4 separate regions of the Mus musculus genome follow, and all the other regions are reported to be linked to region 4. Evidence: microRNA targets listed by miRTarBase, many of them from high-throughput screens and not tested one by one. Region 4 holds a microRNA gene; each other region holds the end of a gene's coding sequence.

Region 1 (3,000 bases), not on the chromosome of region 4:
ATAGGATCAGGGTGTTGACAGGCGAGGGTTTGCGCCACGTTCATGGTTTGCGCAGTGTACTAGAAACTCTTTTATGTAATCTCTGAGAGGAGAGGGCAAGGCTGATCTGCAGCATCGCCAAACCACTGACAGGGCAGAGTACACTTGCAGTCCTAAATCACTTGTTAGAGGAGGTATGTACTGCTGGCCTTGGGAGTTCTTAGGGCATGTGCTAGCTGCCCAAGACTCCACGGGGCGAGTGTCAGAATTCTATGAGGAATGCTCATGAGAACAGTGAGCCATGCCTGCTAACAGCGTGAGCTTGAAGAACATTTGGCCAAATCAAGAGGAAGAGTAAAGGAACTTTCTCAATTTCCTCTCGCATTATGTTTTTGGCCAAAAGGAAAAAAAAAAAGGTGCAGTTAGGACAATGGAAAGAAATGCTTTTTTTTTTTTTAGTTTGAAAGTAGTTGCTACATCCTTAGAATAGAAACTCAGTCACACAGTTGAATTGAGCTACCTTGGCACAAAAGAGAGATGTCAGGGCAAATGACAGCCCATGCAGCTGTGGGCCTTTGCTGGGAAATCTTGGTGTGCTGTTCCCTTACACGTTATAATTTTTAATGCATATTAATTACATGCACTAATGGGGTTCATTGTGACCATTCACATTTAAACTTCTTCTGCTATTAAAAAAAATTATGTAGCTGAATTGATACTCCAAAATGACAGTCTGCCCTTAGCCCACTGGTATATACAAGGTTTCCATTGCTTATAGCACACTCAACAGCTGTCCATCCCAACATGTGCACATCCCATTTATATTCCGGTTGAGGAGTAGACAACTGACTGGGGATCCAAACCAATTTTTACATGGCCTTGAGGGGTGAAGTCGAGCCAGTACCCTGAATGGCAAATGTGCTTTATCCTTTGAACCAACTCCAATTGATTAGTTCTGGTTGCCTATAGTGCTGTCTTAAGAAACCATCTGTGGTATATTTGAGGCTCAGCTGGGAAAAGAGCTGGGATTGATTAGCAATGTCTGTCATGGGCTCTAGAGGAACAGCTTGCCCCATATTTGTCATTTTCTGCCTTTAACATGTCTTTAACTCCTCTGTGCTCTCTTCCTGTGCAAAAGAGTTATAATCCTAAAATGTGCCTGTAGTGTAAACAGAAAGAGTAGGTATAGGTATATTCCACTTTAAGAAACCCTAGCATAGAAATGCAAATTTGGAAAAAAAATGCATCAATCTGGAGCCAATTATTTCCATTACAGAAAAGATTCCATGAAAGGTTCCTTTAAATAGCGAGCTCCCCTGCTGCATTCAAATGATGATTCAATTTATAAAAATTCACTTTGCATGCAACTCTCTCAGACTAAGTCTGTGGACTCTGCAAGCCATACCTGAACTTTTTAAAGCCATGCTGAAGCACTAGCCAGGATGTCTGCCCTCCAGTGCCTCGAGTCCCGCGCCCACCCCCCAGTAACTCCCACTCCCCCTCAAACTTCCTTCTTATTTCCTATCCCAGAGTGTTGAGCATACAATCTGGGTGGTGATCAACAGCTACTGGCTCCCACCCGACACGGCTGCATTTCATTAGTGGGTAAGCTGATTGCTCCAAGGGTGTTTATGTGTGGGTGTAGCTGTACAAATCCATGCCCTCTGTGCACTGCAGATGTAGATGTGGATGCAGAGACACAGCCACCATTCAGCCTAAGCAAAAGCCATCCCTGCTGGGAGAGTTCTAGGATAAGGTTCCCATTGCTTGGTGGATATGGTCTCTTGATGATATCTGCCCTGTATTCTAGTTTACTATTCTCTCTGTGTTCCTTCACATCAAAACCTTGCCCAGGCTCCGGGCCTGAGTCCCATTATCCAGACATGGAACCTTCATCTTCCCCTGCAGCTTAGAGAGCCCCAAATGGTTTTCTGATTTAGAAAATTAAATATAATCTGAGTCTTGTGGCCAGCTATGAAATTCCCAACCAACAGACATTTCCACTAAATGTGTAACATACGCAACATCTCAACATCCTACCAATCTAGCATGAACTGGAATTAAGAGGCAGCCAGTACGGGTCGGGTAAGAGCACTAGCCAATTCCCAGGCACTCCAACTGGTGGCCCCAGAGCTCTTAAAAATGCCTATTGGCACACATGTCCGAATTCTTATTGCTCTGCAGAATCCAGCTTAATCCAGAAACAGGTACCTAAAAGAGATGGCGTCGCTCTTCTTTTTGTTCCTACACATAGACTTCTTGTCATATCTTCTCAGTTGCAAGATATGAGTGTGTCTATTATATCTATGGTATTTAAACTTCTTCCTACTGAGTACTTTGTTTTATTTTTTGGATACATTTTTTCCTTAGTTGTTTTGGAAGATAAAACATGGGACAGGAGCATCGAACACATCAAGCTCACTCAGATATTTCTTCCGGGCCCTCAGTGATCGAGGGGACCTTGGAAATGAAGGCTCTCAGGCTGATGAACTGTCCATAAGTTCCTTACTTCCCATCTTCTCAGACTTCCTGGCTGATGCCAAGGGTCTCCCTTGGTACTGGGCTGTGATGGCTGCATAGGTACATCCATAGATAGCAGCCGCCAACATCATGAGACATACGATCCCACATACTACCCCAGTGATGACCACAGTAGCCACAGCATGGCGCAGGTTGGTTGGCTTTGGTTTGGGTTTGGCCTCACACTCCAAGGGATCTTGCTGTCCTGAGCTATTCTCATGAGACTTCTGGGCATCTTGCGGGGCAGAACCAGGCTGCTGGACTAGTGAGGGTGCCAAATCCTGAGAAGGTAGAGAACAGGGTTGGTACAGTTCGTGAGGAATGGAGAGGAGAGCCTTTCCCTGCCAGGGTTCAGGCAGCCTGCAGATGGCACCATCTGTTTCTCCCCCTTCAAGAAACAAAGCAAAGAATGATGATGGAGCTTTGATACAGCAGTATTCCAAAGTCCTCAGCCTGCCACAGAGTAAATAGACAATTATTTATGGCTAGGAATTTGTTAGG
Region 2 (3,000 bases), not on the chromosome of region 4:
TTTATGAGGTAAGTTGGAATACTATATCGTATCATGTTAATTTGGTAAGTTAGGAAATGGATGCATAGAATAATTAAGTAAGCTTGTGGGACTGCACAAGGAAAAAGCCTACTTATCAAGAGACTGAAATAATATCTAATTAGCTAAAAATACAAAATAAAAAAACACCTGTCTTTATAAAGCGGGACCTGGGCGGGCCTTTGTTGTGTGATAGTTTATCACTGCTAGTTAGTTTGGTTTGAGGTCATTCAAGATGCTTACCAACTGACTAAGGTAAAAGGGCTTACAATATATTTGAAAATTAAGAGTTTAAAAGTATTTCTGGGTCATGCTTCTAAACCAAGGCTGGAAAAATACAAGTATCCTTACCCTTGTCTAATTCCGAACCTGCCTAGGAAGTGTCAGAGTGGCGCTAATCTCACTCTCAAGGCATGACCTGAAATTGGAAATGGGTACCATCTCTCCCCTCAGTCACTGGAAAGCTTCAAGGAAAGGATTTTCTTCACATTAAAGACTGAAAACACCTGGTGCCTGTAAACATAAGGAAATGATTTGACAGAGAAGAGCATTTTGGGTTGACCTAGGGATGTTCTTCCTACCCTTTCAATCATTTTGGATTTCTTAATAACCCAAACAGGAGTGCTTTAGCATTTTAAGCTTGTTTTCCCTGTACTTTCCCTGTACTTGCTATGTATGTTCAACAGTTTTGTACCTCTGAGCAAGAAAAGTACAAAGATTTATCTGTCATATAAAGTATCACTTTGATGATGTACACTAACTAGATCTAGATGTATTACAAACAGGAAAAGTGGTACAGGGGTCAACAGCAAACAGACAAACATCAATTTGACTTTTATATGTTAAAAGTGATCAAAAATGATGGGCTGCCTATGCATTCTCATACAGGTAAACCACAAATCCTGGTAAAACAGAAGAAGTACAAATGAGGAAAAATATTTCAGGAAAGAAAACGGACGCTCTGTGGTTCAGAACCTTACTGAAATGTGTGCATACAAAATGGTACAAAGATTAACAGCGTGAATGACACATCAAAGAATACTTACTATTTTACGAAGCCTCTAGTATAGTAAAATACTTACCAAACTGAATGTTCATTTGTTTATGAAATTTCTCATCAATTTGATACCAAAAGAGTTTTTAAAAAGCAATTATGAGGAGTATGATGGCCAGATAAATGTGTTTTATGTATTTAGGTGATCAGAAAATTGAATATCTATTCTATCCCATAGAATCACAAATAGGGGTGCCTTTGGAAATGCATTACATTTTGTTACAATTTTCAAGTTAAGTTGGTGTGAATTTCATGGTCACTTGTTTGTAGACATTTCATCATCCACATTTAGTGGTAGAGATCATAGCATTGCTTGCTGGCACCTTTGTCAGAGTACTGACAATATTCTATCCAACCCTTTTAAATTAAAATAAATACTTCCAGATGAGAGAGAAATTATCCATTAGATGAAATGGTGTGGAGGACAAAACTGAGTATCTCATGAAAATGAACTGCTATTAAGTCAAAATGGATTTCATGAGGAACAAAAACTTGATCATTTCATTACTTTCTATAACTTAAAAAGTTTCTAAGATCAACATTTCTAACTAAGGATGGTAGTGAGGAAAACACTTCTTTTTCTTAAGATTGTGAAAAATAAAATGTCCTGTATACTTGCATCAGGAAACAGATTTCTACAGAGCTTTCTAGAAACAACAGCAAATGAACTGAGGTTAAAAGGCTTGTTTAAAACTTGCCTGGCACGCAAGGAAGGGAAAGATAGAGGTGGAGACTATTAGTTTTATTTTCTTCCTTCTTAAAATATTAATCTTAGAAAATTCTACTAGAAATTTCTCAGAATTATAGGACAAGCCTGAATTATGAGGAGAATGAAGCCTACCTTCTGAGCAATTCATATTTTAAACATTTAGATATTTGTATGAGCTTCCATCGTTTTTGATGTTTTAACAGTTGTCTCAATCGATCCTGATCCCTACTTTCTTCAACATGTGGAATGAAACACGGCTTTCCTAAGTAACTGTACCAATGGATCCTAAAGTCCCAAATGTAGGCCCTTGAAACAAAATGCACATTGCATGCCAGAGTGGCTACAGTTGGTTATGTACAAAAAGTCTTAGTGAGGTGAAAATGGAACATACCAATAAAACAAACTTAAATAGCTCTCCTATAAGCTATAATTGGAACAAAGTTGTAAAATCCCTAGGAACCTATCCCAGCTATCATGGTGACTCTTGTATAAAGCTATATTCAGTAGTAGTAAAGCATTAGGCTACTGAGACAACAGGCTAGGAACTAGAAAACGAGCATTTCTCTTCATTCTAATGATGAGTATGACCAGCTCAACTGAAACTTCAGGGATACTGTGTCAATCAATGAAATGGCCAGTGAGGATGCAAGAACAGAACAGAGTCAAATGCGAAACAAACTGTGGGGTAGTAGGCTTCTTTAATGCACTCAAAGCTGCCTCAAAGCCAAGGGGTTTATAAAAGGTAGCAGCTCACAGGGAACTGACAGCTAACTTCGTGCCTTAGTCCCTGCGCAGGGCTCATGATGTGTGTGAAGGCTCATTACTTGTCAGAAGCCTCGGGTCTCATTAAGCAGAGCACAGATCAACAGCAGTCCAGATGTCAGTGGCCTCGGGGATCACTTTACTGGTAGTAGGCATTACATCTTGCTCTGTGCACGCCTTTAAGTCTGTGTCTATCCTTCCTACTGGCTCGCTGGATTTTCTCCTCAGGGAGGACCAACAGGCACACCTGAGAAGTGCCCTAAAGCTTTCCGAAACACTGGAGGAGAAGAGCTTTTTGCAAGGGTGGAAAAACTGATAGAACACAAGCATGAAGAGAATGCCAGTGCAGTACCCAATAAGCAGCTGCAAGATCAACAGAGGCGCACACACATACATGTATATGTCAGTTTTAAAAAAATACCACAGGAGCAGGAGGACGGAGTTCTCGATGAATCTC
Region 3 (3,000 bases), not on the chromosome of region 4:
ATGGAGCCCATCTTAAAAACAGAATAATTTAAACAAAAATGATTTTGCATGATTTTAAATGTTTGTAAGACTGTATCCTGAATTCCGTCTGCATCTGGCCATTACCCTGGCAGGCTTTGTGCCTGTCCTACATTTGGGCCTAGGACGCATTGAGAAAGACTGAATTATTGGTTAAACAAGTTACGTTGACCACTAAGCCTAAGTTTTCTCCTCTATAAAATGTGGATAACAGTGTCTTCTGCACTGGTGGCAGTGACACAGTCTGTATACACTACCAGTCACTGCAGAAGACGCTGTTATCCCCATTTTTTAAAAGATTACTTTTTACTTGATATGTATGTGTGTTTGGCCTGCATGTGTGTCTATGTGTATGCAGAGGCCAGAAGAAGGCAGCAGAGCCTCTGGAACTGGGTGCTACAGTTATGAGCTACTATGGGTGCTGAGAACCAAACCCAGGTCCTCTAAAAGGGCAACAGATGCTGTTAACCGTTGGTCATGCTCTGTTATCCCAATTTTACAGAGGAGAAAGTGGGCTTAGAGGAGCAGAGTAACCTGCCCACAGTTACATAGCTAGCAAGCAGGACAAGAATTCTGATCCTGCCCAGCTGATCAAGAGCTGAGCTCTTGTCCTCCGTCCTTGCCAATCTTGCTTGTTGGGAATACTGGTCCAGGACTGTGTATCTCAGTGGTAGAACACTTGCCCAGCATGCACATGCCCTAGATTTGGCTCTAGCCCTAAAGAAAAAAAAAAAATTCAGGCACCTGGCCCTACCTCCCAACCGGAGAGAATTTCCAGCCATTGTGGAAACAAAGAACAATCACCACCTGCAGTCTGAGCCCACGTGCGTATACCACAGGCGCTGAGCCACCTCTGACCCTCATCAGAGTCTGAGGAAACACTGAGTGCCACGCAGCTGCTCATCCTCAGGTGACTGTCTCGTGCTCAGCTTCCTCATCTCTGGGATGAAGGCAGAGTTCCTGTGTGGTAGTGAGGATGGAATGAGGCAATAATTGCATCAAGTGCGACTCTGTCCAACTAGTCAGCACCTATAAAGACCCCTACTCCACTAAAGTCTCAAATACCGTGACTGTAATAAAACAGTATTGAGAAACCTGACAATCACTCATGGAATTGTCCATCCCAGCAGTGCCCCCAGAGCAGATGCTGGCCAGCACAGGCGGTCACAACTCCACTAGAGTGGGCAGCAAGCAACCCCACAGGTGCCCTCTTCCACACCTGTGACACTTGCTTCTTACTGCAAATAAAAAGATGACCAGGGTTTTGCTTCTGCCCCCCAGGATGGGAAGGTGCTGACTCTCAGGCCAACATGACAGTTACTCTCCCTACAGCAGGCACTTGTTCCAAGCAGTAACTTGCTAATGAACCTATCATGACTAATCTACCCACAGGCACATTTCCGGCCTCAGTTTCCCTGCACATAGAGGTGTCTTTATCACAGGCAGCCTTAGTCCTTGGTCTTACAGAGTGTCCCCCAGTGCCTGCATTGGTAATGTGTACTGTTGGAAAGAGAAGAAACGGACCAACAAACACAGACTGTTCAAAAATAGAAATTTATTAAAGTGTATTTGTTTTTAATTCCCAAAACTTCTTAAAACCATCTTTTCATTGGGCCCATGAGGTACTTGAACACAGACATTATAAAGTATGTAGCAGTGATTGTTGTGTGTGTGTGTGTGTGTGTGTGTGTGTGTGTGTTTTACTGTGTATCTCAGGCTGGCCTGCAACTCTCTATGTAGCTCAAGCTGGCCTCAAAGTCGCAATCTCCTGCCTCAGCCTCCCACATCCTGAAGATTACAGGTATATGTCCCCATTCCTGTCTTAACTTTTCTGTGTAAAGTGAAAAGGCTCAAATATCTGGAGTCCACCAAACTCTTAAAATGACCTAGCTTTGGTTTGATTGCTATTGCACCCTCAGTCAGTACCCAGCCCCAGCACACCCCTGCTGAGTCAGTACTAAAGTGACTGACTCACATTTCCTACCAGATCATTAGGAGTTAGCAGTAAGGAAATATAAGGGGCAGTCAGCTCTGTTATCAGATGCTGTCCTCTCTGGTGCACACAAGAGGCTCGGGCAAGGCTCTGACCACTAACCTGCTGCAGGCAGTGCTGTCAGACAGGAAGAGCTCATCTGTACACAGGACAAGCCCACAGCCTCAGTAACAGTCCTGGGTCTCTGCCTTTAATCAGCATCAGTCTTCCCTCGAGAAGGGGAGACAAGTCTCAACAGACACTGCCATCCATCCTGAATACAATGAGTTCATTAGAAATTTTGTTTTGTATGAATGTGCAAAACTGCCAACCAGGAGTTGAAAATGAAAAGCTTGTTTTGTCAATGACAATCCTCATGTGTTCCAAGGCAAAAAGGTGAGAACAAGGAGCTGGCGTGGTCTGTCCCCTAAAGGCTGGAGATGACCCTGACATTAAGGCACAAAGCAGAAGAGAGTATCCAGGTTCCATGGCCTTGACCACTGAAGCTCTTTGGAAAACTTTAATTTGCAGTCAGAGATCTGTGTCACAGGCTGGCCACCCTACCTCCAGCTTCTGGTCTCTCCATGTTCCCTTTGGTCACAGCTACTTGCTTAAGGCACCACAGGAGCCTGGGCCCTAGAGAGGCTGGGGAGGGAGGTAGCTTCAATGGCTTCTAAGCTCCAGGGACCATTTGCTGGTTTCATCTCAAAGTCTCCAGGAACTGGGAAAGAGGTGAGCAATGGCCACCATAAGGAAAAGCAGCTGAAGTACAATGTCTGGAACAGAGGCCCCAGCTCTCTCCAGCCCTCCGCACTGCACATCTCTGGCCCACTAAGTCATGTTGAGAAGTGGGTAGGCTAGGTAGTAGCCCACAGCCGAGCCCAGGACCACACCGAGGAAAATCCAGGTGTTGTAGGACATGACAGCCAGCATCACAAAGTAGCCAATTACCACCTGAATGACATGGACTAGGGACTGGCCAAAGTAACACAAAAACCACCTAGACATAA
Region 4 (3,152 bases):
AAACAGGGTGATCTCTCACTCATTATGAAGTTAAGCATGAATTTGAACTCCTGAGACTCCTAACTCTGGCAAGTGGTTTTCATCTGATAAGAGAGATTTTTCCCTATACCATGAATATACACTCAATGAAACTCTAAGCACGTATAAATCAAAAGGATGACTGCCATGTGTGTTTGTGTGCACATGTATGTTTCCCTAGTTGTGTGTGTGTGTGTGTGTGTGTATATATATATATATATATATATATATATATATACATATATATATATATATATATGCATGTTCATATACGCGCATGTACACGCACACTTCACCTATACACATAAACACAAACACAGGGAAAATCACATGAATTCCGGGCTGATCTCTAACTCATCATAAAGTTAAACATGAATTTGAATTGCTCATCCTCATGATGCTGGCAAGAGTATTCACCTCCTAACTAAGTCATAGCTCGGGCCATTCGTGGGAGTATGTTTGCATGTGAGTATATGCATATTCATGTACAGAAGTGAATATGTACTCAACTATACACACATGCACATTCTTGGTGGGCATCACATGAATCGCATGCTGAACTCTAACTCATCATGAAGTTAAACATAAATTTGAATTCCTCATCCTGACACTGACAAGAGTGCTCACCTCCTAACTGAGACATAGCTCTGGCCATTCCTATGAATGTGTGTGCATGTGTGTATATGCATATTCATATAGAGAAGTGAATATGCACACAACTATACACACATGCACATTTTTGGTGGGCATAAGATGAATCCCATGCTGATCATGAACTCATCACAAAATTCAGCACGAATTTGAACTCCTGATCCACCTGACTCTGTCAAGGGATTTCTCCTGCTGAGTGAGACCTCTCCCCATTCAGTAATGAGGAATCTTAAAACTCTAAGTCACATATCATTCAAATGGATCGATGAGTTGCATTCATGTTTGTGTGTGTGTTACTGTTTGTGTCTGTGTACATGTATATATTTGTGTAGATAGGTACATCCATATACTCAAATCCACACACAATAGAAACAGATACAGATAGGGATACATAGGGGGCATCACATGAATCCCAGGCATATCTCTAAGTCATCATGAAGTAAAGCATGAATTAGAACTCCTGATCCACAATCTTTCACACCTGGTGAGTAAAACCATTCACTGTCCCACTACTGCATAATCTTGAAAACTTTAAGTCACGTATCATTCAAACGTATAAATGAATGCAATTTTTTCCTGTGTGTGTGTGCTTGCATATACACGTGTGTTTATGTTATGTATATCATGTCAACACATACAATGCACATACAAGTAAGCACACATGCACATACATGGGTTGCATGACATTAATACCAAGATGTCTCCAAATGAAGTTAAGCATGAATTTGCAATCCTTATCCTCCTGACTTTGTCAATCGTTTACACCTGGTGAGTGAGGACATTCAATGCCCCCTATTGCATAATCTCTAAAACTCTACATCACTTATCATTCAAAGGGATTGGCGAATGCCATTCCTGTGTCTGTGTATGTGTGCTTGCGTTTATACGTGTGTGTGTATGTTATGTATATTCAAATATAGACATGAACATGCACACACAACTATACACACATGCACATACATGGAGGAATCACAGGCTGATCTCTCATGAGGATAAGTATGAATTTGAACTCCTGATACTCTTAACTCTAGCAAGCATTTTCACTCTAAGTCACTTATCACTCAAATGGATTGATGAGTGCCATTCCCATGTGTCTGTGTGCTCATATGTGTCTTATGTGTGCGTGTATGTATATGTATATCATATTCACACATGTACATGTACACACACATCAACACATACACACATACATAGGGGCAATCACATGAATGCCAGGATGACCTCTAACTCATCATGCCTTTACCATGAACTTGCACTCCTGATCTTCTCGAATCTACCAAGGGTTTTCCTGTGGTTTGTGAGACCTCACCCTGGCCCAGTCATACATAACCTCCAAAGCAGTAGGTCACATTTCATTCAAATGGATCCGTGAGGGCCATTCCCGCATGTCTGTGTGCATGTGTGTGTAGGTGTGTGTATGTATATGCATAAAATATACACGCATATACATGCAGGCACTTACGCACACAGGCACATACATAGGGGCCATCACATTATTCCAGGATGATCTCTAACTGCTCATGAAGTTAAGCATGAAATTGAACTCCTGATCCTCCTGACACTGACAATTGTTTACACCTGGTGAGTGAGAATATTCACTGTCCCTCTACTTTATAATCAGCAAAATTCTAAGACATAAATCATTCAAATGGATCAATGAGTGTCATTCTTATGTGTGTGAGTGTGCATGCCTGTGTGTGTGAATACATTTGTATGTGTGTGTATTTATATGTATGATCATATACACACATGTACGTGCACACACAATTATATGCACTTGTGCATACCTAGGATCCATCACACAAATACAGGGTGATCTCTAACTCATTATGAAGTTAAGCATGAATTTGAACTCCTGAGACTTTTAACTCTGGCAAGTGGTTTTCATCTGATAAGTGACATTATTCCCTATACCATGAATATACACTCAATGAAACTCTAAGCACGTATAAATCAAATGGATGACTGCCATGTGTGTTTGTGTGCACATGAATGTGTCCCTAGTTGTGTGGGTGTATATATATATATATATATATATATATATATATATATATATATATATATATATGCATGTTCATATACGCGCATGTACAGGCATACTTCCCTATACACATAAACACAAACACAGGGAAAATCACATGAATTCCGGGCTGATCTCTAACTCATCATAAAGTTAAACATGAATTTGAACTGCTCATCCTCATGATGCTGGCAAGAGTATTCACCTCCTAACTGAGTCATAGCACGGGCCATTCGTGGGAGTATGTTTGCATGTGAGTATATGCATATTCATATACAGAAGTGAATATGTACACAACTATACACACCTGCACATTCTTGGTGGGCATCACATGAATCGCATGCTGAACTCTAACTCATCATGAAGTTAAACATGAATTTGAACTCCTCATCCTCCTGACACTGGCAAGAGTGCTCACCTCCTAACTGAGACATAGCTCTGGCCATTCCTATGAATGTGTGTG

The links. Region 4 holds the annotated microRNA mmu-miR-669p-5p (AGUUGUGUGUGCAUGUUCAUGUCU, at 1,588-1,611, opposite strand). A microRNA usually pairs through its seed, bases 2 to 8, with sites in the 3' UTR of a target mRNA and lowers its output. Matches are read on the target gene's strand: a 7mer-m8 pairs with bases 2 to 8, a 7mer-A1 pairs with bases 2 to 7 and ends in A, and an 8mer does both.
Region 1: the mRNA of Lrtm1 is a reported target of mmu-miR-669p-5p. The part of its 3' UTR that is shown has no 7-base or 8-base seed match.
Region 2: the mRNA of Xk is a reported target of mmu-miR-669p-5p. Seed matches in the 3' UTR shown: 8mer at 202-209.
Region 3: miRTarBase lists Slc31a2 as a target of mmu-miR-669p-5p. Seed matches in the 3' UTR shown: 8mer at 1,680-1,687.

What each region holds. Positions count from the first base shown.
Region 1 is chr14:29,027,211-29,030,210 of GRCm38, reverse strand. Lrtm1 (leucine-rich repeats and transmembrane domains 1) reads right to left here. Exons shown (of 3, transcript NM_176920.4): 3 at 1-2,887. The coding sequence ends at 2,457. All of the region lies in intron 27 of Cacna2d3 (calcium channel, voltage-dependent, alpha2/delta subunit 3), which reads left to right. Among named protein-coding and RNA genes, the nearest start is that of Lrtm1, 11 kb to the right of the region's middle.
Region 2 is chrX:9,309,377-9,312,376 of GRCm38, reverse strand. It overlaps Xk (X-linked Kx blood group), which reads right to left. Exons shown (of 3, transcript NM_023500.2): 3 at 1-3,000. The coding sequence ends at 2,628. Among named protein-coding and RNA genes, the nearest start is that of Gm25481, 6.9 kb to the left of the region's middle.
Region 3 is chr4:62,296,965-62,299,964 of GRCm38, reverse strand. It overlaps Slc31a2 (solute carrier family 31, member 2), which reads right to left. Exons shown (of 4, transcript NM_025286.3): 4 at 1,553-2,990. The coding sequence ends at 2,822. Among named protein-coding and RNA genes, the nearest start is that of Slc31a2, 12 kb to the right of the region's middle.
Region 4 is chr2:10,492,502-10,495,653 of GRCm38, reverse strand. Mir669a-9 (microRNA 4669a-9) reads right to left here and starts at 1,626; the gene lies at 1,540-1,626. All of the region lies in intron 10 of Sfmbt2 (Scm-like with four mbt domains 2), which reads right to left. It overlaps Mir467a-7 (microRNA 467a-7), which reads right to left and starts at 2,144; the gene lies at 2,062-2,144. It overlaps Mir466b-6 (microRNA 466b-6), which reads right to left and starts at 1,856; the gene lies at 1,767-1,856.